Linked DNA regions of Macaca mulatta. The protein of the gene in region 1 interacts with the protein of each later gene in a pairwise test. Links are inferred from orthologs where the notes say so. Each region holds a gene or a part of one and is shown on either strand. Other genes may lie near its edges. The genes, in order: DAPP1 and FXN.

Region 1 (10,710 bases):
AATGTATTGCTACTGTGGGACCAGTTTCAGAAGATAGCAAGGTGCATGGAAAGCATCTATGCTTTAGAACCAGATTAGCCCAGATTCCAATCTCAGCCCTAATGTTTACCAGCAGTAAAAACTTGGGCAAGTAACTTATAACCTCTGAGTTTTCATTTCCTCATCTGCAAATAGACCGTTGTATGCATTATTGTGGGTGGTTGAGATGAAATAAGTTGATGTAGGTGAATGCCTGGAAACTAGCAAACACTAAAAATGTTGGCCTTAATTCCCTTCTCAGCTGCTTTTTCCTTTTTCAAACAAAACTCATCTATCAACTGAGAACATTTTGTATTTTTGGCAAACATAAACTAAAGAAGTTTGGCAAAATTCTAAGCTGTCACTAGTTGTTTTCTGAAGAATCACCCAGTTCTCAAATTAAAATTAATTTTAACCGCATTATTTTAAAATGCCACCTGGGTAGTGTCACAAAATTAAATAATAATAGCAGTAGCAGTCGTCAAAAGATTGGGAATCCCCATATCAAAACAAAAAGAGAAATGGAGAGTTGACATTTACAAAAAAAATAAGATGACATCTTTAACACTGAGAACCAATTATTATAAAGGATAAGCACAAACATAGAACTTAACTTGTATTATACTTTTGCATGCCAGTTAGGTGATTACAGTCACAACACAATATAATAAATTGTACATGGCAATTTCATGTTAAGAATTATTGAAATATAAACAAAAGGTAATGGTAAAAGTAATTTTTTTGTTCTAATCATATTTAGACATTTAAGCATAAAGATAAATGCCATCCACATTTTCAAGACTATATATATGAAACTTAGCTAATTATAAGAGGATATGACAAAATTAACAATAGACCAAACATATTTATACTAATAAAAAAGTTTCTCAAATTTTCAAATCTATTTGAGTTTAGTTTAGAGTTCGTGCACAGACATGAATATGTTTTATTTGATATCCTACTATTAAGACAGAAAAACTCCAACCTGCCTGCCCACTGAGGTGGAGCCTTAGGAAGTCCGTGCCCTTTGCAGCGGGGAGGAGCCTGGCCCTTCCTCTTCCTGTGAGGAACATAGAATTCAAACTGTTCGGCAGGCAGCGCTCTAGCAGGGACCCTGGCTAGGCCCTCTTTTCTTTCTTTTCATCCAATAAAACCCTGCTTCACTCACCCTTCAAACCATCTGCAAGCCTAAATTTTTGTGTCTGGGGGATGGAGAGGGACCCAATCTTTAGCTGAACTAAGGAAAAGTCCTGCAACAGTATCACAAATGAAAGGCAAATTCTGAATTTAATCATCACTGAGCATACATGCAACACAAAACATCATTTCAAATTATGCTTTTATAAACTTTGAAAGTTAAAATTGTAACAAGTTTGCTAGTTTTGGTGTTGCCATAAAAAACTGCAATGCAGGCATTGGAAATGGGGCATCTGACATATTGTGGAAATGATTAGTATTTATTTTTTCAGGTCCTGGGACACAGTAGGAAGCAAAGCTGACAAAAATCCCTTTCTTCATGGAGTTTCCAGACTAGTGTGGAAAAAAAAGTATTTTTAAAAAAATAAGTGAATTATATACGTCAGAAGGTAAAAGGGCCATTGAGAAAAATAAAGCAAGAGAGTACATTGTATATCTCTATCATGTACTCAGGAAATTATTAGGTTTTGACAATTGGAAGTATCTTAAGAGTGTTTATGAGTATTGATAAAAATAAATTAGAGTGAACAGAAACTTTAATGGAGATTAGAGAGATGAAATAGAGATTATGACAAGGGAAAGGGAAATTATCATAACATACTCTTAAAGTTGGCAAGAGGCTTAGATGTTGCTTAGGAAATCCTTGCTTTTCAGATTAGCAAACAGAAATCCTAAAAGTGTAAAGAGTAGGGAACAGGAAAAAAAAGATATCTTAAAATAGCATTAATCCCCTTAGGTCAACACTTTTATCTATTTTGAGTGCAAAGATTTTCTTATGACCCAGAATCAAATATTCTGGGTTTCACTCTACTGAAGGCATTATATATAACTGCAAGGCAAAAGTGTAAAGTTTTGGTTATTTGGATATCATTTATGTTGCCCTCAGAGGTAATGCCACTTGTGCCAGTAGATAAATGTATTATAAGAAAGTCTCTCTTTAATAAACTTACCCTCTAGGCCCTGCAGGGTGAGGCTGGGCCTGCATGGGGTCTGACTGACAGGAGTGGCCTGAAATATCCAATTCTAGTCCTTCTCATTCTGGTAATCTGAAGTTGAGAGCCCTGGGAGGGGCTTGTCCATTGTGTGGACAAATGCTTTTCCTGGTGATGTTAATCAAACATAAACTATAAGAAGTATTCGTACTTCATCTAATGGTGAACATGAAATCATTAGCCTGAAGATCTGCTGATCACTGGGAGCCAATACTAAGAGCCCATGCTTAAAGGAACAAGAAGAAAAGGCCTATTTTTAGAAGGTGGCATCTCAGGTTCCATTCACCATTCTTTATAGTCTGCAATGCTGACTCTGTAACCTCGAGGACTTTCTGGGCTTACAAGTCATCATGACTTGAACACATTATCTTGTTTCCCAAGGCCTATTACTCCCAGAGGGGCAAGATTTGAACACTTATCTGTCATGGGTTTTGCCTGTTGTTCCTAGCCCTGATGGCTTTCCCTTCATCTGGCTGGGACAGATAAGAGGAATAAAGCTAGCGGACTCTAACTCAAGGGCAGGAAGCTAGCAAGTCAAGTGCATATCCATCAGCACCAGGGGCTGGAAGCAGGAATTCAAACAGCAGCAAATTCTTCATTGGGTAATGAGTAGAACAGAGGAGAGGCAGTGGAGAGGATAAAAATATTAGGTTCCTGAGTTATATTGTAATAAATAAAATGATAATTATAGTCAAGATAATAATATAGCAAGTTTGAGTTTTAGAGTAATTACTGTAGAAGTCTGGATTACAAATCCTTACAATCTCTAATGCATTAATCATAAGGCTTCTTTACTCAGAACATGTTAGTTACAAGGAAGCTTATCATTGTCCCAAATGCAATATCAAAACATCTTTATTTTGGAGCATCCTTAGGTGATCCTCTTGCCTAGTGATTGAATCAGTGCCAGAAAGGTTCAACCAGAAAGCATTGCATTCACTTTGATCTTAAATGTTTTGAAATCTGCCAATAGGCAGAATATGTATCTTTTCCCTAACTTGGAGAGGGTCAGGAAGGAGCACAGGGAATGATCAAAGAAGTTGAAAATAGAGCCTAGGAGAAGCGTTTAAAAGAAGGGAGCTGTCTTTGGTTGGAGGAAAAAGAGAAAGCAGAAAAATGGCAACGCTAGTGGCTTCGAAGGCTACAAAGAGTTCTTACTTAGAGTTATCCATTTATTCATTTATTTATTTACCCAAAATGCCCTGCAATGGGCCAGGACCTGGCAGATATGAAAGACAAAAATTAGAGGTACACAAAACAAAGCCCTGGCTTTAAAAATCTCCTCTCCATTGCCTGTGACCAATAACTGAACAAAATCCAGTATAGAATTGGATGCAAGTAGGAAAGGAGACTGAAGTGAAGGGATTTGAGAAACTGAAATGCTTGCCAAGGCCAAGGTAGCAATGGAAATAAATATACCTCCACTGGCCATTTGTTCATGAGAACAACTGCTTGTTAAATGGTGAAGTAATTTTCAAGGTTGATTGGGAGAATATATACCAGAAGAAAGAAGGGAAAAAAGGTTATAGCTTCAGTTTGTAGTTTGGATTATTCTGTCTTAGGCTTGGTGTGGTCAGTATAAAGCAGAGCAACGATTTTCCAGTTTTCCACTGTGCACTTCATGTATACTAGACACTGTCTGAGTCACATCAGAGACTATCCATGCCATATAAATAGCAGAAAAGACAGAAGCCAATGATGCCCCCTCTTCCTACCACACTGAAGTTAACAGAAAGCCCACTGGCAAGTTTGCCAAGAAAACACATATGTTCAAACTCATGGTAACCGGTTGTGTTATTAAGTCTTCAGTTCCTCTTGTGCCACAGGTTCTTGGAATTTCCTAGTCTTTGATTAACTGAGATTTATCATTATTTAGGACAAAAGTGTTGTGATTCTATATCACAAATACAGGTATGACATTTACTTCTTTAAAATAATATAAATAAACAAGATATTCAATCTTAGATAATTCAAGTGCCAAGATAGACTGTTTTTTGTGTTTATTCTTTAAACACGAATTTTCTGCTTTAATTCTCTTACCATTCAAACAGGACAATTCAAACTTTTCCAGCCATAATTAAGTCTAGCTTAAAATCTTATTTAAAAAACTGTGACAATAGAAACAGAATTTTATAACTCAGGAGAGCACTTCCTAGTCAATATTTTCAATATTCAGCGATCCCTGTGAACATTTAAGTGGGAATTTTCACTTTTTAAAATGCTTAAAATTTACTTCTGTGGGTCTCACTCATGTGCAAACTGCCCATACGTGAAATTATGGGTAATCAAAACGTCATTTTTACCTTTCTTCTTTTTGTGTGTATTGTGTATGTTATTTTTAAATGGACAGCCCATTTTAAAGAAATGCTTTTCCATAATGGTTGAACTAGTTTACAATCCCACCAACAGTGTAAAAGTGCTCCTATTTCTCCACATCCTCTCCAGCACCTGTTGTTTCCTGACTTTTTAATGATCGCCATTCTAACGGGTGTGAGATGGTATCTCATTGTGGTTTTGATTTGCATTTCTCTGATGGCCAGTGATGATGAGCATTTTTTCATGTGTCTATTGGCTGTATGAATGTCTTCTTTTGAGAAAACAGTATGGTGATTCCTCAAGGATCTAGAACTAGATGTACCATATGACCCAGCCATCCCATTACTGGGTATATACCCAAAGGATTATAAATTATGCTGCTATAAAGACACATGCACATGTATGTTTATTGCGGCACTATTCATGATAGCAAAGACTTGGAATCAACCCAAATGTCCATCAGTGACAGATTGGATTAAGAAAATGTGGCACATATACACCATGGAATACTATGCAGCCATAAAAAAGGATGAGTTTGTGTCCTTTGTAGGGACATGGATGAAGCTGGAAACCATCATTCTTAGCAAACTATCACAAGAACAGAAAACCAAACACCGCATGTTCTCACTCATAGGTGGGAACTGAACAATGAGATCACTTGGACTCAGGAAGGGGAACATCACACACCAGGGCCTATCATGGGGAGGGGGGAGTGGGGAGGGGGGAGGGATTGCATTGGGAGTTATACCTGATGTAAATGACGAGTTGATGGGTGCAGCACACCAACATGGCACAAGTATACATATGTAACAAACCTGCACGTTATGCACATGTACCCTACAACTTAAAGTATAATAATAATAAATAAATTAAAAAAAAGAAGAAATGCTTTTAATCAATCCATTAAGTAACACATTCTGAGAAAATATCTACTTTATACAAAGTACATTGTTTTCTCCTCAAGATAATGTTGAAATATAAATGACAACCATGACATTCTTCAACTGAAATCTGCCTTGTTTCTCCTCCATCCCGAAACAATATTTCATAGGTCAAATGTCTGCTCATAGCTTACCTGTCTCGCTTCCAATCAAAGGCTGATTTGCAAAATGCTTGACAAAATCCTTCAAAGATGCGAATTCATTAAAGCCAAATTTAAATGAATATCCAGTATATTCAACGTGAAAGTGTTTAACAGAATCTTTGGCCCTAAAAGGGAAAAATAAGTAATTAATGTTATTTAACAAATAAATACCTTGTTGAAGGGAAATATGATCTTAGATGTTAGCATCACTATTAACCCTTTCTAAGAGCTGAGAATTAGACAATCATTGAAACCACTGACAATTTTAAAGAGCATCACCAGTTTCTTTTGGCAGAGTGTGCTCTTTTCGACTTTTATTTATTTATTTATTATTTTGAGACAGAGTCTTGCTCTGTCGCCCAGGCGGGAGTGCAGTGGCATGATCTCAGCTCACTGCAACCTCCGCCTCCTGGATTCAAGTGATTCTCTGGCCTCAGCCTCCTGAGTAGCTGGGATTAGAGGTGTCTGCCTTGATGTCCAGCTAATTTTTGCATATTTAGTAAAGACTGGGTTTTGCCATGTTGGCCCAGCTTGTCTTGAACTCCTGACCTCAGGTGATCCTCCCGCCTCGGCTTCCCAAAGAGCTGAGATTACAGGTGTTAGCCACCACGCCCTGCCTCAACTTTTTACTCTAATGGAAGACAAGAGACTGTTCTCCCTATCTACTCCTAGACTTACCAAAAGAGTCCTTGAACATTATGCTGCTAATGGGGCATGAGTTTAAGAAGGGCAGAGAATAGGAATGACAGAAATGACGTATGACACCCTCACCACACTCTCCTCCATCTTGGGCTTTTCTCCCTTGCTTGTCTGGGAGTCAATCAGAATTCAGCTCTGTCGCTTGATTAGTTATGTGAGCCCAGCTCTTTTCCTCCCATGCATGTTCCACTGCCTACTGAATAAAATATCAAATTTCCTACGTTGTCATTTTCCACTTCATTTTTGAAATGAGCAGAGTATTAAATAATATATATATATATATATCTGCCTCTCCACTTTATTTGACCCCATTCTATCTTTCTAGCCTCACTTCCTGCTATTCCTCTCAGTGCAGCCCATGCTACAACGTTAGCATGCATCAGAATCATCTGACGGGCTTGTGAGAACCCAGCTTGCTGCCACCTCCACCTCCACCCCTGCAGATTCAGATTTGGTAGATCCAAGGTGGGGCCTGAGACTGTGCATTCCTAGCATGTTAAGAACAGGTGACACACCTGGTCTGCGGACCACACCTTTAGAACTGCTGCCCTAGTCCAACTGGACCTACTGCTCTTCAAGGAGTTTCCACTTCTGTCCCTTAGTTCACACTGTTCCTTTTTCCTGAAACAGTGTTTCTCTTTGTCTCTGCTGGTAGAAATCCTAGCCACTCATTAAGTTGCAGTTCAAGTACTACCTCCTCTGTCAAGTATTACATGATAATTCCAGCTTAAAGTTAATTGCTTTTTCTCTTCTGAACCACCTAAACACTTATCTTGCTTTCTTGTATGTTATTTCTCAACCTCTACTTTGTAGTATGTTACTTGTATGTGGTCTTTTTGGCTCTGTGAAGCTATAATTCCCCAAAATAAGGTATTTGAATCTTCTACAGCAGGGGTCCCCCATCCTGGGACTGCAGACCGCGTACCTGTTAGGAACCAGGCCGCACAGCAGGAGGTGAGCAGTGAGTGAGCATTACCGCCTGAGCTCTGCCTCCTGTCAGATCAGGCATGAGAGTCTCAGGAGCCTGAACCCTATTGTGAACACATGTGAGGGATCTAGGCTGCACACTCCTCATGAGAATCTAATGCCTGATGATCTGAGGTGGAACAGTTTCATCCTGAACCCCCATTTCCCACAAAACCAGTCCCTGGTGCCAAAAAGGTTGGGGACCACTGTTCTACAGCACTTACCAACGTGGCTGGTGCAGAATCAATGCTTTCAAATATTCATCAGTAAAAGAATGAACAAATAAGTGAATATTTGTTCATAAAACAAAAATAGTCATTCTCCTGAATTAGTCTGTGGTTTTTGTCACCTTTGCTGGTCATTTTTTAAATATAAGCATTCTCTAGTGATTGTAAGGAAAATCAATAATTTATTCTTTATGTATATGAAATATATGTCATCGATTTATAAATAGCTTATGGTCTAATTGCTCAGATGAGACATACATAGGTGAAAAGTTAATTAACTTTTCATTTTTGGAAGATTCATGCCAGGGGTCCCCATCCATCCCCCTGCCAGCCACACAGCAAGAAAATGAGTGATGGGTGAACTAGTGAAGCTTCATTTGTATTTATAGTTGCTCCCCATTGTTTGCATTCTCACTGAGCTCCACCTCCTGTCAGATCAGTAGAGGCAATAGATTCTCATAGGAGCGCAAACCCTGTTGTGAACTGCACATGCAAGCGATCTAGGCTGTGTGCCTCTATGTTAATCTAATGCCTGACGAACTGTTACTGACTCCCATCACCCCCAGATGGGACAATCTAGTTTCAGGAAAACAAGCTCAGGGCTGCCACTGATACTGAATGACGGTGAGTTGTATAATTATTTCATTATACATTACAGTGTAATAATAACAGAAATAAAACACACAATAAATGTAATGCACTTGAATCATCCCAAAACCATCTGCTGCTGCCCCGGTCTGTGAAAAAATTGTCCCAGGTGCCAAAAATGTTGGGGACCTCTGGTGTATGCAATAAAGCATCTACAACTTAACCATTAGATGGACTTTTGACATTTGCTGTTGAGCAGAGAAAGCACAATTCTTGTTGCCACTCAAACAGAATTCCATCTTGGATTAATAATTTTTTCATCTATGTTATTCAGAAAATGTATAAATAAAATATAACAGGGTGACATGTTAATGAATATGCTTTTTTCTCCTCTGTGACCCCTACTTACCCCATCACCCTCTACCTGTTTCGCACACCCACTTCAAGTAGGCCTGTAGATTTTCACTGTTCCAGGAATGGGAGCTGTGGCAGGCAGCATTTTAAGATGACCCCAAGTCCCAGCCCATGGAGTACACACTTTATGCCAATTATTCAATCAAAAGCTAGTCTATATGCTACTGGGAAGGGATTTTGCAGGTCCTTAAAGTCCTAAGTCAGTTGATGTTAAGATATGGACATTATCTGAGTGGGCCTGAAACTAATCACATGAGCCCTGTAAAACAGAGAGTTTTCTCTGGCTGCTCATCAAAGAAAAAGTCAGGGAGATGTTTTCTGGCTGGCATGCAAGAAAGCAAACACCGATGTGGTAAACAGCCATGGGGCCATGTGGCAAAGAACTGTGGGTGGCCTCTCAGAGTTAAGAATGCCCCTCTGGCTGACAGCTAAAAGGAAAATGAGGACCTCAGTTCTACAGCAGGAAGGGAATGGATGAAGAAGAATGAAGAGGAAAGGAGAAAATGAAGGAAGAAGACACTGAATGCCAGATCAGAGCCAGAACCTTCTCCAACACCTTTATTCCAGCCTGGCAGGACCTGGACAGAGAATCCAGCCAGAAACGGAGATAATCAAGTTGTGTTACTTTAAGTGCCTAAGTTTTTGATAATTTGTTATGTAGCATAGAAAATGAATATAGAGGCAAGGCCCGGAGCCCAAAGACAGAGTGTGAAGGCTGCTACTGAGTTAGTGACAAGTAGTGACCGTGCAGAGTGGAAAAGAAGTGAGAGAGCCTCTGAGGCCAGATTAGCTTGAGGGACTGCACTATGAAGGGAAGAGTGACTCTCCATGGGATATGGAAGTGCCATCAGAACGGTAACACAATAACAGTTTGAGCTTAATGGGTGGGTGGCTGAGGGAAATTTCATGGAGTCCTCACATCCGCTGCCTAATCCATGGAGAAGTGCCTAAGAACCCAAGAAAACGTGCTACATGTCAGTGGAAGGCAGAGTGTCAGATCCTGGCTGAGAACCAGCCACCTCCCCTGACTACCAGAAGCTCGGTCAGCCTCTCTGATCTGGGGTGCCAGCCAGGAAGAAGCAGGTGTGGGGTGGGGAGGACCTGAAAGGTCTGGACAATGATTGCAATTGCCTGGATGAACCTGGTGGGGACTGGATTAACTTTCTTACCATTTGGGAGAAATGGAGACTCAATAAGAAAAGTTAGCCCACCAACAGTGTAAAAGTGTTCCTATTTCTCCATATCCTCTCCAGCACCTGTTGTTTCCTGACTTTTTAATGATCGCCATTCTAACTGGTGTGAGATGGTATCTCATTGTGGTTTTGATTTGCATTTCTCTGATGGCCAGTGATGATGAGCATTTTTTCATGTGTCTGTTGGCTGTATGAATGTCTTCTTTTGAGAAATGTCTGTTCATATCCTTTGCCCACTTTTTGATGGGGTTGTTTGTTTTTTTCTTGTAAATTTGTTTGAGTTCTTTGTAGGTTCTGGATATTAGCCCTTTGTCAGATGAGTAGATTGCAAAAATTTTCTCCCATTCTGTAGGTTGCCTGTTCACTCTGATGGTAGTTTCTTTTGCTGTGCAGAAGCTCTTTAGTTTAATGAGATCCCATTTGTCAATTTTGGCTTTTGCTGCCGTTGCTTTTGGTGTTTTAGACATGAAGTCTTTGCCCATGCCTATGTCCTGAATGGTACTACCTAGGTTTTCCTCTAGGATTTTTATGGTATTAGGTCTAACATTTAAGTCTCTAATCCATCTTGAATTAATTTTCGTATAAGGAGTAAGGAAAGGATCCAGTTTCAGCTTTCTACTTATGGCTAGTCAATTTTCCCAGCACCATTTATTAAATAGGGAATCATTTCCCCATTTCTTGTTTCTCTCAGGTTTGTCAAAGATCAGATGGCTGTAGATGTGTGGTATTATTTCTGAGGACTCTGTTCTGTTCCATTGGTCTATATCTCTGTTTTGGTACCAGTACCATGCTGTTTTGGTTACTGTAGCCTTGTATTATAGTTTGAAGTCAGGTAGCATGATGCCTCCAGCTTTGTTCTTTTGACTTAGGATTGTCTTGGAGATGCGGGCTCTTTTTTGGTTCCATATGAACTTTAAAGCAGTTTTTTCCAATTCTGTGAAGAAACTCATTGGTAGCTTGATGGGGATGGCATTGAATCTATAAATTACCTTGGGCAGTATGGCCATTTTCACGAT
Region 2 (10,710 bases), on another chromosome or scaffold:
GACTCCGCGTCCACTCTGGCAGTGCTTGAGGAGCCCTTCAGCCGGCCACGGTATGGTGGGAGTCCCTTTGGGCTGGCTGAGGTCGGAGTCGCTTACCTCTGCTTGTGGGGAGTGTGGAGGGAGAGGCACAGGCGGGAACCGGGGCTGTGCTGGGCTCTCACGGGCCAGTGCGAGTTCTGGTGGGCGTGGGCGCAGGCTCGGGGGGCTGCACAAGGAGCGGCCTGGCCTGCGGAGCCGCTGGCCCAGAGCAGTGAGGGGCTTAGCACCTGGGCCAGCAGCTACGGAGGTTGCGCGGGGTCCCCCAGCAGTGCTGGCCCGCCAGCGCTGCACTCAAATTCTCGCAGGGCCTTAGCTGCCTCCCCACGGAGCAGGGCTCCGGACCTCCAGCCCGCCATGTCTGCACTCCCCCGCCTAAGGTGGACTCCCGCACCGCCCAAGCCTCCCCTAGGGGCGCTGCCCCCACTCTCGTCCCCTGCTCTGTGGTGCTGGGTCCCATCCACAGCCCAAGGGCTGAGGAGTGCAGGCGCAGCTCAGGACTGGCAGGCAGCTCTGCCTGCAGCCCCAGTGCAGGATCCACTAGGTGAAGCCAGCTGGGCTCCTGAGCCGGATGGGGACTTGGAGAACTTTTATTTCTAGCTGGAGGATTGTATGTGTACCAATTAGCACTCTGTGTCTAGCTCAAAGTTTGTAAATACACCAATCGGTACTCTGTGTCTAGCTCAAGGTTTGTAAATACACCAATTGGTACTCTGTACCTAGCTAACTCTGTGTCTAGCTAACCTAGTGGGGACTTAGAGAACTTTTCTGTCTAGCACTCTGTCTAGCCCAAGGATTGTAAACGCACCAATCAGCACTCTGTGTCTAGCTCAGGCTTTGTAAATACACCAATCAGTACTCTGTGTCTAGCTCAAGGATTATAAACACACCCATCAGCACTCTGTCAAAACAGACCAATCAGCTCTCTGTAAAACAGACCAATCAGCTCTCTGTAAAATGGACCAATTGGCAGGATGTGGGTGGGGTCAGACAAGGAAATAAAAGCAGGCTTCCCCAGCCAGCCAATAGCAACCCGCTTGGGTCCCTTTCCACACAGTGGAAGCTTTGTTTGCTTGGGTCCCTTTCCACACTGTGGAAACTTTGTTCTTTCGCTCTTTGCAATAAATCTTGCTGCTTTTCACTCTTTAGGTCAACACTACCTTTATGAGCTATAACACTCACCACGAAGGTCTGCAACTTCATTTCTAAAGTCAATGAGACCACGAACCCACCGGGAAGAACGAGCAACTCCAGACGCACTGCCTTAAAGAGCTGTAACACTCACCACCAAGGTCTGCAGCTTCACTCCTGACAGCGAGACCACGAACCCACCAGAATGGAAGAAGCTCCAGACACATCTGACCATCTGAAGGAACAAACTCTGGACACACCATCTTTAAGAACTGTAACACTTACCGCGAGGGTCCGCGGCTTCATTCTTGAAGTCAGTGAGAACAAGAACCCACCAATTCTGGACACAAAAGAATGGACAGCATCCCTGCTGTCAAGGAGCTCAGTCTATTATAGGTGGTAGCTGACATGTAAATAGACAATTATAACACAGAGGGATCAGTGCTCCACAGAGTCATCCTCAGAGTGCTGGGCAAGGGAGAAAGGAAGGACCATGTCTGCTTAAGAGTATCTAGGAAAGCTTCACAAAGGAGGTAACTTCCAGCTATACCTCAGGGGAGGAAAAGACTGCCCTCCCACAAAGCTCAAGTAATATTAATACCAAACATGAAATACATAAATTAGTTAGCACGTGAAGGACTCTAATCAGTAATTCACACTCTAGGGTACAGAGTTAGCATTTCAATGTAGTTAATCACAAGTCCAAACTACAGATGGCAGCCACTATATATCTTTAGCTTTCTAAATCTACACTTAAAACATTTGCTAATTAGTAAATGATTTGTTAGAAACAATTTTACCCTTGAGTGATACTCAAAGCATATGAATTGGCTAGAAAAATATAGGCATCTCTTCCTTTGAAAGAATAGGTTACAGAATCTGGAAAGCCTACCAGCCTAATATTGTCTTCAGAGAGACACACTCAGGGCAGGAATTAGGAAGGTTCTGTGACCCACTACTGAGAGCAGAAGGTTTTGTCACCTGGTTCAAATTGAGTCAATGATGTGAGAAATAAAAATAAAATCCTAAGCTCCCAACTGACTCAACAAACCATCTCTTGGCCAAGGGGAGCCCAGAGATACCTTAAAAAAATTTCAGTTTTGGCCATGATGGGAAAGGAGTTTCAACAGGCCTTGTTCTACTCCCTCCCTCACTAACTGCCATTAGTTTCTTTTCCCCCCTAAGGGCTAAACAGAAACTAGCCCTTCAAAAGACTAACTTGAGGCCATGTGTGGTGGCTCACGCCTGTAATCCCAGCACTTTGGAGCTGCCTGTAATCCCGGCACTTTGGGAGGCCGAAGCAGGTGGATTACCTGAGGTGAGGAGTTCAAGACTAGCCTGACAACAACAGGGCGAAACCCCGTCTATACTAAAAATATAAAAAAATATTAGCCGGGCGTGGTGGCAGGCACCTGTAGTCCCAGCTGCTTGGGAGGCTGAGACAAGAGAATCGCTTGAGCCCAGGAGGCGGAGGTTGCGGTGAGCCAAGATCGCGCCACTACACTCCAGCCTAGGCTACAGAGCGAGACTCTGTCTCAAAAAGAAAAAGAAAAAAAAAAAAAAAAGACTGACTTCACCACTGGTATCAACCAAACCAATCATCTAATTCTGCTCTTCCCTCACTGTCCTTATAGTCAGGCTTGATACCTTCTGGAAGACTTGGTTGCTTGCTCCATCATGCGGAATGCCTTCTCCATCCAGTGCTCCCGCTGCAATTTCCAACACCATTTCTATCCCTTTAGTCTGATGGCTGATTGCCCTCAACAATTCCATGATTGAATCCAAAATACACGCTTTGTGACATTTCCTGGTATTAGTTAATTGCCATCAAGAGGATTAACATCTTTGAGGGGCTGGGCGCTGTGGCTCACACCTGTAATCCCAGCACTTTGGGAGGCTGAGGTAGGAGGATTACTTGAGTTCAGGAGTTCAAAACCAGCCTGGCCAATGTGGTGAAACACTGTCTCTACTAAAAATACAAAAATTAGCTGGGTGTGGGGGCGTGTGCCTGTAATTCCAGCTACTCGGGAGGTTGAGGCAGGAGAATTGCTTGAACCCGAGAAGCAGAGGTTGCAGTGAGGTCATGCCACTGCTCTCCAGCCTGAATAACAGACGGAGACTCCGTCTCAAAAAACAAACAAACAAACAGACAAACAAACCAACCCAGAAAACCATCTTCGAGGGATTTTCTGCCTCTGGCAAAAAAGAACTACTCTAAGGCCTAAGCAATAATTCTAATTCCAAAGGCAGACCCTTGCCCAAATCTGCCACCTGGTGGCCAGTCGATAAAGACCAGCACTTCCCTGGCTTCTAGGATCTGGGGCTAATGTTTCATCCAACTCAGAAGTTCTCACACCAAGCCTGATCTGGTGGCTCATGCCTGTAATCCCAACACTTTGGAAGGCTGAGGGGGGTGCACCATTTGAGGTCAGGAGATCAAGACCAGCCTAACCAACATGGTGAAACCCCATCTTTACTAAAATACAAAAAGTAGCCGGGCATGGTGGCAGATGCCTGTAATCCCAGCTACTTGGGAGGCTGAGGCAGGAGAATTGCCTGAACCCAGGAGGCGGAGGTCACAGTGACCCGAGATTGCGCTACTGCACTCCAGTCTGGGCGACAGAGTGAGACACCCTCAAAAAAAAAAAAAAAAAAAAAAACAAGTTCTCATACTAGCTGCACACTGGAATTATCTGTGGAACTTAAAAATTCCAGTGCCCTGCCCAGGCCATGCCACACCCCAGTCCAAGTAATCAAAATCTCTAGGAACAAGACCTAGAGAGACACATTAGAATCCCAGGTGAGCTTTTCAAAAATATGCTTCTCAGGAATGCACCCGACCTACCCCATCACTGTCTCACAGGAGCAGGGCTCAACTCTCTGTAATCTGAATAACTTCTGGGCAGTTCTCTTACCCCTGCTGAAGAACTGTAGGTCTAGTTTGTTGTTTGCTCCATCTGCCTGCCGGACAAACACACATTCTGGCCCCTCTCTGATTTGTCTTCATGGGTATCCACTGAAGCCGGAAAATGAGGCTCAGAGAGGCTGAGTGACTTGCCCAGGGTCACAACAAGCCTGGCAGAGCTGGGCTGCAGCTTGAAGCCTAGTCTTATCTATTTATTTATTTGAGACGGAGTCTTGCTCTGCAGCCCAGGCTGGAGTGTAGTGGCGTGATTTCGGCTCACTGCAACCTCCGCCTCCCGGAGCCCTAGTCTTTTAATCCCACCCACAACTCCAATGTACGTGATGCTTAGCTCTGCTGCAGGGGAATTCTTCATTTTAGTGAACTAAAATTCTTAGAGGGGGAAACAGAAAAATAAAAGAAGTCAAGAGGTACCCCAAAGGAAACATCATAGTCCTCAAAGGTGTATGGCTTGTCTGCAAGGTCTTCAAAAAACTCTGCTAAAGAGTCCAGCGTTTCCTCTGCTAGTCTTTCATAGGTGGTGTCATCTAGAGAGCTGCAGGGGAAACACAAAACCCAAAACACGATTACCAAACACTTCCATTTTACTAATACCAAATTTACACACTTGTTATTTAAGTTCATTAAACTGATGAAAATAACATGTACAAAGTAAAATTTTGTCCTTTTTCTTTCGAGACGGAGTCTCACTCTGTCACCCAGGCTGGAGTGCAGTATCTGGTCTAAACTCCTGATATCAAGTGAGCCACGTGCCTCGGCCTCTCGAAATGTTAGGATTACAGGTGTGAGGCACCATGCCTGGCCCAAAGTAAAAATTTAAACAGCACGGAAGGGGTTACAGAAAGAAGCAGGCAGCCCCCATTCCCAGAAGCAGCTACAAATAATAGTCCTTTCTGGGCCAGGTGGCAAGGTGGCTCATGCCTGTAATCCCAGCACTTTGGAAGGCCGAGGTGGGTGGCTCACCTGAGGTCAAGAGTTCGAAACTAGCCAGGTCAATATGGCGAAACCCTGTATCTATTAAAAATACAAAAATTATCATGTCCTTTGCAGGGGCATGGATGAAGCTGGAAATCATCATTCTCAGCAAACTAACACACGAACAGAAAACCAAACACCACATGTTCTCACTCATAAGTGGGAGTTGAACAATGAGAACACATGGACACAGGGAGGGGAACATCATACACTGGGGCCTGTCGGGGGTGTGGGGGGCAAGGGGAGGGAGAACATTAGGACAAATATCTAATGCATGAGAGGCTTAAAGCCTAGACGACGGGTTGATGGGTGCAGCAAACTACCATGGCACACGTTTATCTATGTAATAAACCTGCACATTCTGCACATGTATCACAGAACTTACAGTATAATAATAATAATAATAAATTAGCTGTGTGTGGTGGCGTGACCTTGTAGTTCCAGCTACTCGTGATGGTGAGGCACAAGAATTGCTTGAAACCAGGAGGCAGAAGTTGTAGTGAGCTGACATCGTGCCACTGTACTCCAGCCTGGGTGACAGAGCGAGGCTGTCTCAGAAAAAAAAAAAAAAAGTCTTTTCTGTATCCTTCTATCTGCATATTCTTTCTAATATACAAATGAAGCATTTTGCATTTTTTCACTTAATTGTGTCTTAGAAATTTGCATTTTTTCACTTAATTATGTCTTAGAAATTGTTCTATATTAGCACCTATGGATTTTTATAATATTTAATTTTATGTTATTTATCCAGTCCTCTTTAGCTGGACATGAAGGATGCTTCCATTGCTTTTGTTATTAAAATTTTGCTTTTGCCCAAAATTTTGTTGGGCAAATCACAAAGTGGGAGAAAATATTCATATTACATACATCTGAAAAATGATTCATCCAGAATATATAAAGAACACCGGCTGGGCGCAGTGGCTCACGCCTGTAATCCCAGCACTTTGGATGGATGAGGTGAGTGGATCACTTGAGGTCAGGAGTTCGAGATCAGCCTGGCCAACATGGTGAAACTCCGTCTCTACTAAAAATACAAAAATTAGCCGGGTGTAGTGGCAGGTGCCTGTAATCCCAGCTACTCGGGGGCCTGAGGCAGGAGAATCACTTGAACCCAGGAGGCGGAGGTTACAGTGAGCTGAGATCGCGCCACTGCCCCCTCTACTCTACCCTGGGTGACAGAGTGAGTGAAACCCTGTCTCAAAGAAAAAAAAAAAAAAGAAGACCTACAAATAAATAAGAAAAAGAAAAATCAACAGAAATAAAAATGGGCAAAATACTTGAATAGATTTCATAAATAAAAGATACCCAAATGCCCAATGAACACATAAAAAGGTGTTCAACTTTGTTAATCTTCAGGAAAATGGAAATTAAAAAATCACAGTGAGATGCCACCAGAATGGTTAAAATGTAAAAGGGCGGGAACCCTCATAGCACCAGTGATGAAAGAGAGAATTTAATGCGGGTGATGTTGGGAAAGATTTTTGTTCAGAAGTATGCCCAGTGCCACACTATGGAAAAGGGGGCAAGCACAAAACTGAGCCAAATCTCCATGGTCTGTCTTTTTGGGCAGAAGACAGGTCAGGCCATTGGATTCCCTTACACAGACGCCAATAAGAACAAAGGCATCACCTGGGGAGAGGACACACTGATGGAGTATTTGGAGAATCCCAAGAAGTACATCCCTGGAACAAAAATGATCTTTGCCAGCATTAAGAAGGCGGCAGAAAAGACAGACTTGGTAGCTTATCTCAAAAAAGCTACTAATGAATAATAATTATCCACTGTCTTATTTATTACAAAACAGAAATGTCTTATGACCCTTTTATGTGTACCATCATTTAACAGACCTCATAAACCAGAATTCAGATCATGAATGACTGACAGAATATGTTTGTTGGGCAGTCCTGATTTAACTAAGACTGGCTTGTGGTTAAATGAGTATGTTCGGTGTTTTGAATTTTAATGGTAATTCTGGGCCTGGTGTGGTGGCTCACGCCTGTAATCCCAGCACTCTGGGAGGCTGAGGCAGGCGGATCACCTGAGGTGAGGAGTTCAAGACCAGCCTGAACAATATGGTGAAACCCTGTCTCTACTAAAAATACAAAAATTAGCTGGGCTTGTAGTGCACGCCTATAGTCTCCAGCTACTTGGGAGGCTGAGACAGGAGAATCGCTGAAATCCTGGAGGCGGAGGTTGCAGTGAGCTGAGATTGCGCCACTGCACTCCAGCCTGGGTGACAGAGTGAGACTCCGTCTCAAAAAAAGAAAAAAAAAAAAAAAAAAAGGTTGGGTGTGGTGGTTCATGCCTGTAATCCCAGCATTTTGGGAGGCTGAGGCAGGTAGATCACCTGAGGTCAGGAGTTCGAGACCAGTCTTGCCAACATGGTGAACCCTCGCCTCTACTAAAAATATACAAATTAGCTGGGCATGGTGGGGCGAGTCTGTAATCCCAGCTACTCGGGAGGCTGAGGCAGGAGAATCGCTTGAATCCAGGGGGCGGAGGTTGCAGTGAGCCGAGGTGGCGCCACTGCATTCTAGCCTGGGCAACAAGAGCAAAACTCTATCTCAAAACAAAAAACAAAACAAAACAAAAAAACCCACAAAAAAACCCAAGTTACTCTGATTCAGTAAATACTATCATTGTTTATTCCTTCTAAAGATATGATCAGATTTCATTAGTAATGTTCAACTTTTCACAAAGATGATGAATGCCATCTTAAAATCTATTGGAGATTTTTTTATATTTAGATTTATGTAACTGGTTATGTAAATATATTTAAATACTGGAGGAAATTCCTTCACTGTCTCAGAACCCAGCAAGATTCACCTGTATTTTGTGTTCATTTGCCTCTTAAAGGCAAGGGCTGAAGATAAGGTAGCAATGTCAACTTTATATTTTTGGCCTTAACTGTGCCAATCCAATTAGAATTTTCTGTATCTAAAATGGGTCATTTTACTTACTGAAAGACATTTTAGTGTGGTTTATGTGTAATATCAAAAAAAGATTATTTAACACTTCTCACATTAAAGAAAAAAAAAGAAAAGAAAGAGACAGATCGTATCAAGAGCTGGCCATGGGCTGGGTGCAGTGGCTCATGCCTGTAATACCAGCACTTTGGGAGGTCAAGGGAGAAGGATCACTTGAACCCAGGAGTCTGAGACAACGTAGAGACCCCATCTCTACAAACAAATTAAAAAAACTAGCTGGGTGTGGCACATGCCTGTAGTTCTGGCTCCTCAGGAGCCTGAGGTGGGAGGGATCACCCAAGCCAGGGAGGTCAAGGCTGCGGTGAGCTGTGATGGCGCCATTGCATTCCATCCTGGGTGACAAAGTGAAACCCTGTCTTTACAGTAAAATAAAAGAAAAGAAAAAAGAGCTGGCCAAGAAAAGAAGCAACTAGACTTTTCAGATACTGCTGATAGGCAAGTAAGTGGGACAATCACTTTGGAAAACTGTTGGACAGTATCTACTAAAGTTGAATGCATTTACATGCTATGACCCATCAGTTCCACTCCTAGGGGCTACACCCAACAGACATGTGTGCCCAGGTTCACCAAAAGACATGTGCTACACTAAAATATTTGTATCATAACTATCCTATAGCCCCAAACTGGAAACTGTCCAAGTACTCCTTTGTAATACCATAGATAAATAAATTATGGTATATTCATACAATGGAATACTACACTGCAAAATAGAATTGTCTATAGGAACCGTATGGATGAATCTCACAAACATCATTGTGATAGAAAGAAATACACAAGTATACACAAACATGGTTATACTTAATGAGACAGTTTAGTGAAAGACAGGCAGAACTAACCTATGCTATTGGTAATCAGAATAGTTAAACTCTGAGGGGTTAATGACTAGAAGGAAGAGAGGGAGGGGTTAATGGCTAGAAGTGAGCAGGCAGCTTGCTTGCAGCGGCTGGTAACATTCTATGTCTTGAGCTTACAGGGTATGTTCACGGGACTGTTCAATTTTTTGCAAATTCATCAAGCTGTATGCTCGTGACTGGACACATTTCTTTACAGATACTATTTTTCAAATTTAAAATTACTTTAAATCCACAGAGACAGAAAGTAGATTAGTGATTGCTGGGTTTTAGGGAAAGGCGGAATGGGGGAGTGACTGCTAATACAAATAGGGTTTCCTTCTGGAGTAATGAAAATGTTCCAGAATTAGATAGTGGTGATAGCTGCACAAACTTGTGAATATACTAAAAACGCTTGCATTATACATTTTAAAATGGTGAGTTTATGGCATGTAAATTATAACAACAAAAGTATTATTATAATAAATATCCTTATAAGAGCTTTTGTGCCCCTGTGAGGATATATTAATATCTGTAGGTTATAAGATATGTAACAGACAACTCCACTATCTGAAAGTTTCCAAGGGGCCTAAAAGTAAGACACCAGGGGCTGCTAGACAATTACTGTAAGACATACAGATCTGCCATATGACCCTCTTCCCCGCCCAGTCCATCACCCACTTCCAGGATACAATGTGGGGAAGGCTACCTGACTGGATTGGTGAGGAGATGTCCTTTAAAAGGAGTGGTTGGCCTGATAGGGTGTGTTTTGAGAGTGAGCTGGAGAGAAAGGGTGTGTTTTGAGAGTGAGCTGGACAGATAGGGTGTGTTTTGTGAGTGAGCTGGACAGATAGGTTGTGTTTTGAGAGTGAGCTGGAGAGAATGGGTAGGAGAGGTTGGTTGACATGTGTTGAAGAATTTGAGAAACATAAAGACACAACCGACTTTATACCTGACAGTTATAAAGTCCAAAGTGAAGAGGTTGGAAGGTGCTACCTGCCAGCAGAGAGCTGGGCCCTGGCAGAAGTGGGCTGTCTTCCTACACATGGCAGGTCAAGGGTGTGCTTCCCACAGGCCAGAGGGAGCTGAACTTGGGGCATCCTGCAAGGGCCCTATGCAACCTCCCAGACTGCCAGAAGGAGTAAGGAGAAAACGACAGAGAGTCTGTTGAGGGGGGAATGCTGGAAGCCGAGGCTGGAAATGGATGCCACCAAAGCAAAAAACTCAAACATGCAGCATGCTGTGCCCCTTTGAGACTGTGGCAAAGTCAATGAACAGACACCGCAGGCTGGGAGGTTCAGAGTCTCTTCAGACCTTGTGAGCCATGCAAAGCTCTCTGGAAATCTGAGTCTCAGAAAACCTGGAGGGCCAACTGTAAGCCTACTGAGCATATAGCTCTGGGGACAGTTAGAATGTTCCTGAATACGGGTGGCTTCTTATTGTTTTTAATAGATGTGACAAGAAAAGAGTAAGCCAGCAGATGGAATGAAATGGAGCATTGGAAATAAAAGGCTGCACAAACGTGGAAAGTCAAAGGGAGAATCTAAGGCTTTTTTTTTCTTCTTCTTTTTTTGAGATGGAGTTTTGCTCTTGTTACCCAGGCTGGAGTGCAATGGCATGATCTCGGCTCACTGCAGTCTCTGTCTCCCGGGTTCAAGCGATTCTCCTGCCTCAGGCTCCCAAGTAGCTGGGATTACAGGTGCCCGCTACCACGTCCAGCTAATTTTTTGTATTTTTAGTAGAGACACGGTTTCACCATGTTGGCCAGGCTGGTCGTGAGTGAACTCCTGGCCTCAGGTGATCTGCTCGCCTTGGCCTCCCAAAGTGC

The links.
Region 2: the proteins of DAPP1 (region 1) and FXN interact in binary tests that used the Homo sapiens proteins (3 or more experiments, as listed by UniProt). The link is inferred for Macaca mulatta from reciprocal best matches to the Homo sapiens genes DAPP1 and FXN.

What each region holds. Positions count from the first base shown.
Region 1 is NC_133410.1:109,153,765-109,164,474, reverse strand, and holds part of DAPP1 (dual adapter for phosphotyrosine and 3-phosphotyrosine and 3-phosphoinositide), read right to left. Parts: intron 5,733-10,710; coding exon 5,599-5,732; intron 1-5,598. UniProt on the Homo sapiens protein: May act as a B-cell-associated adapter that regulates B-cell antigen receptor (BCR)-signaling downstream of PI3K.
Region 2 is NC_133420.1:100,092,058-100,102,767, reverse strand, and holds part of FXN (frataxin, mitochondrial), read right to left. Parts: intron 4,626-10,710; coding exon 4,505-4,625; intron 1-4,504.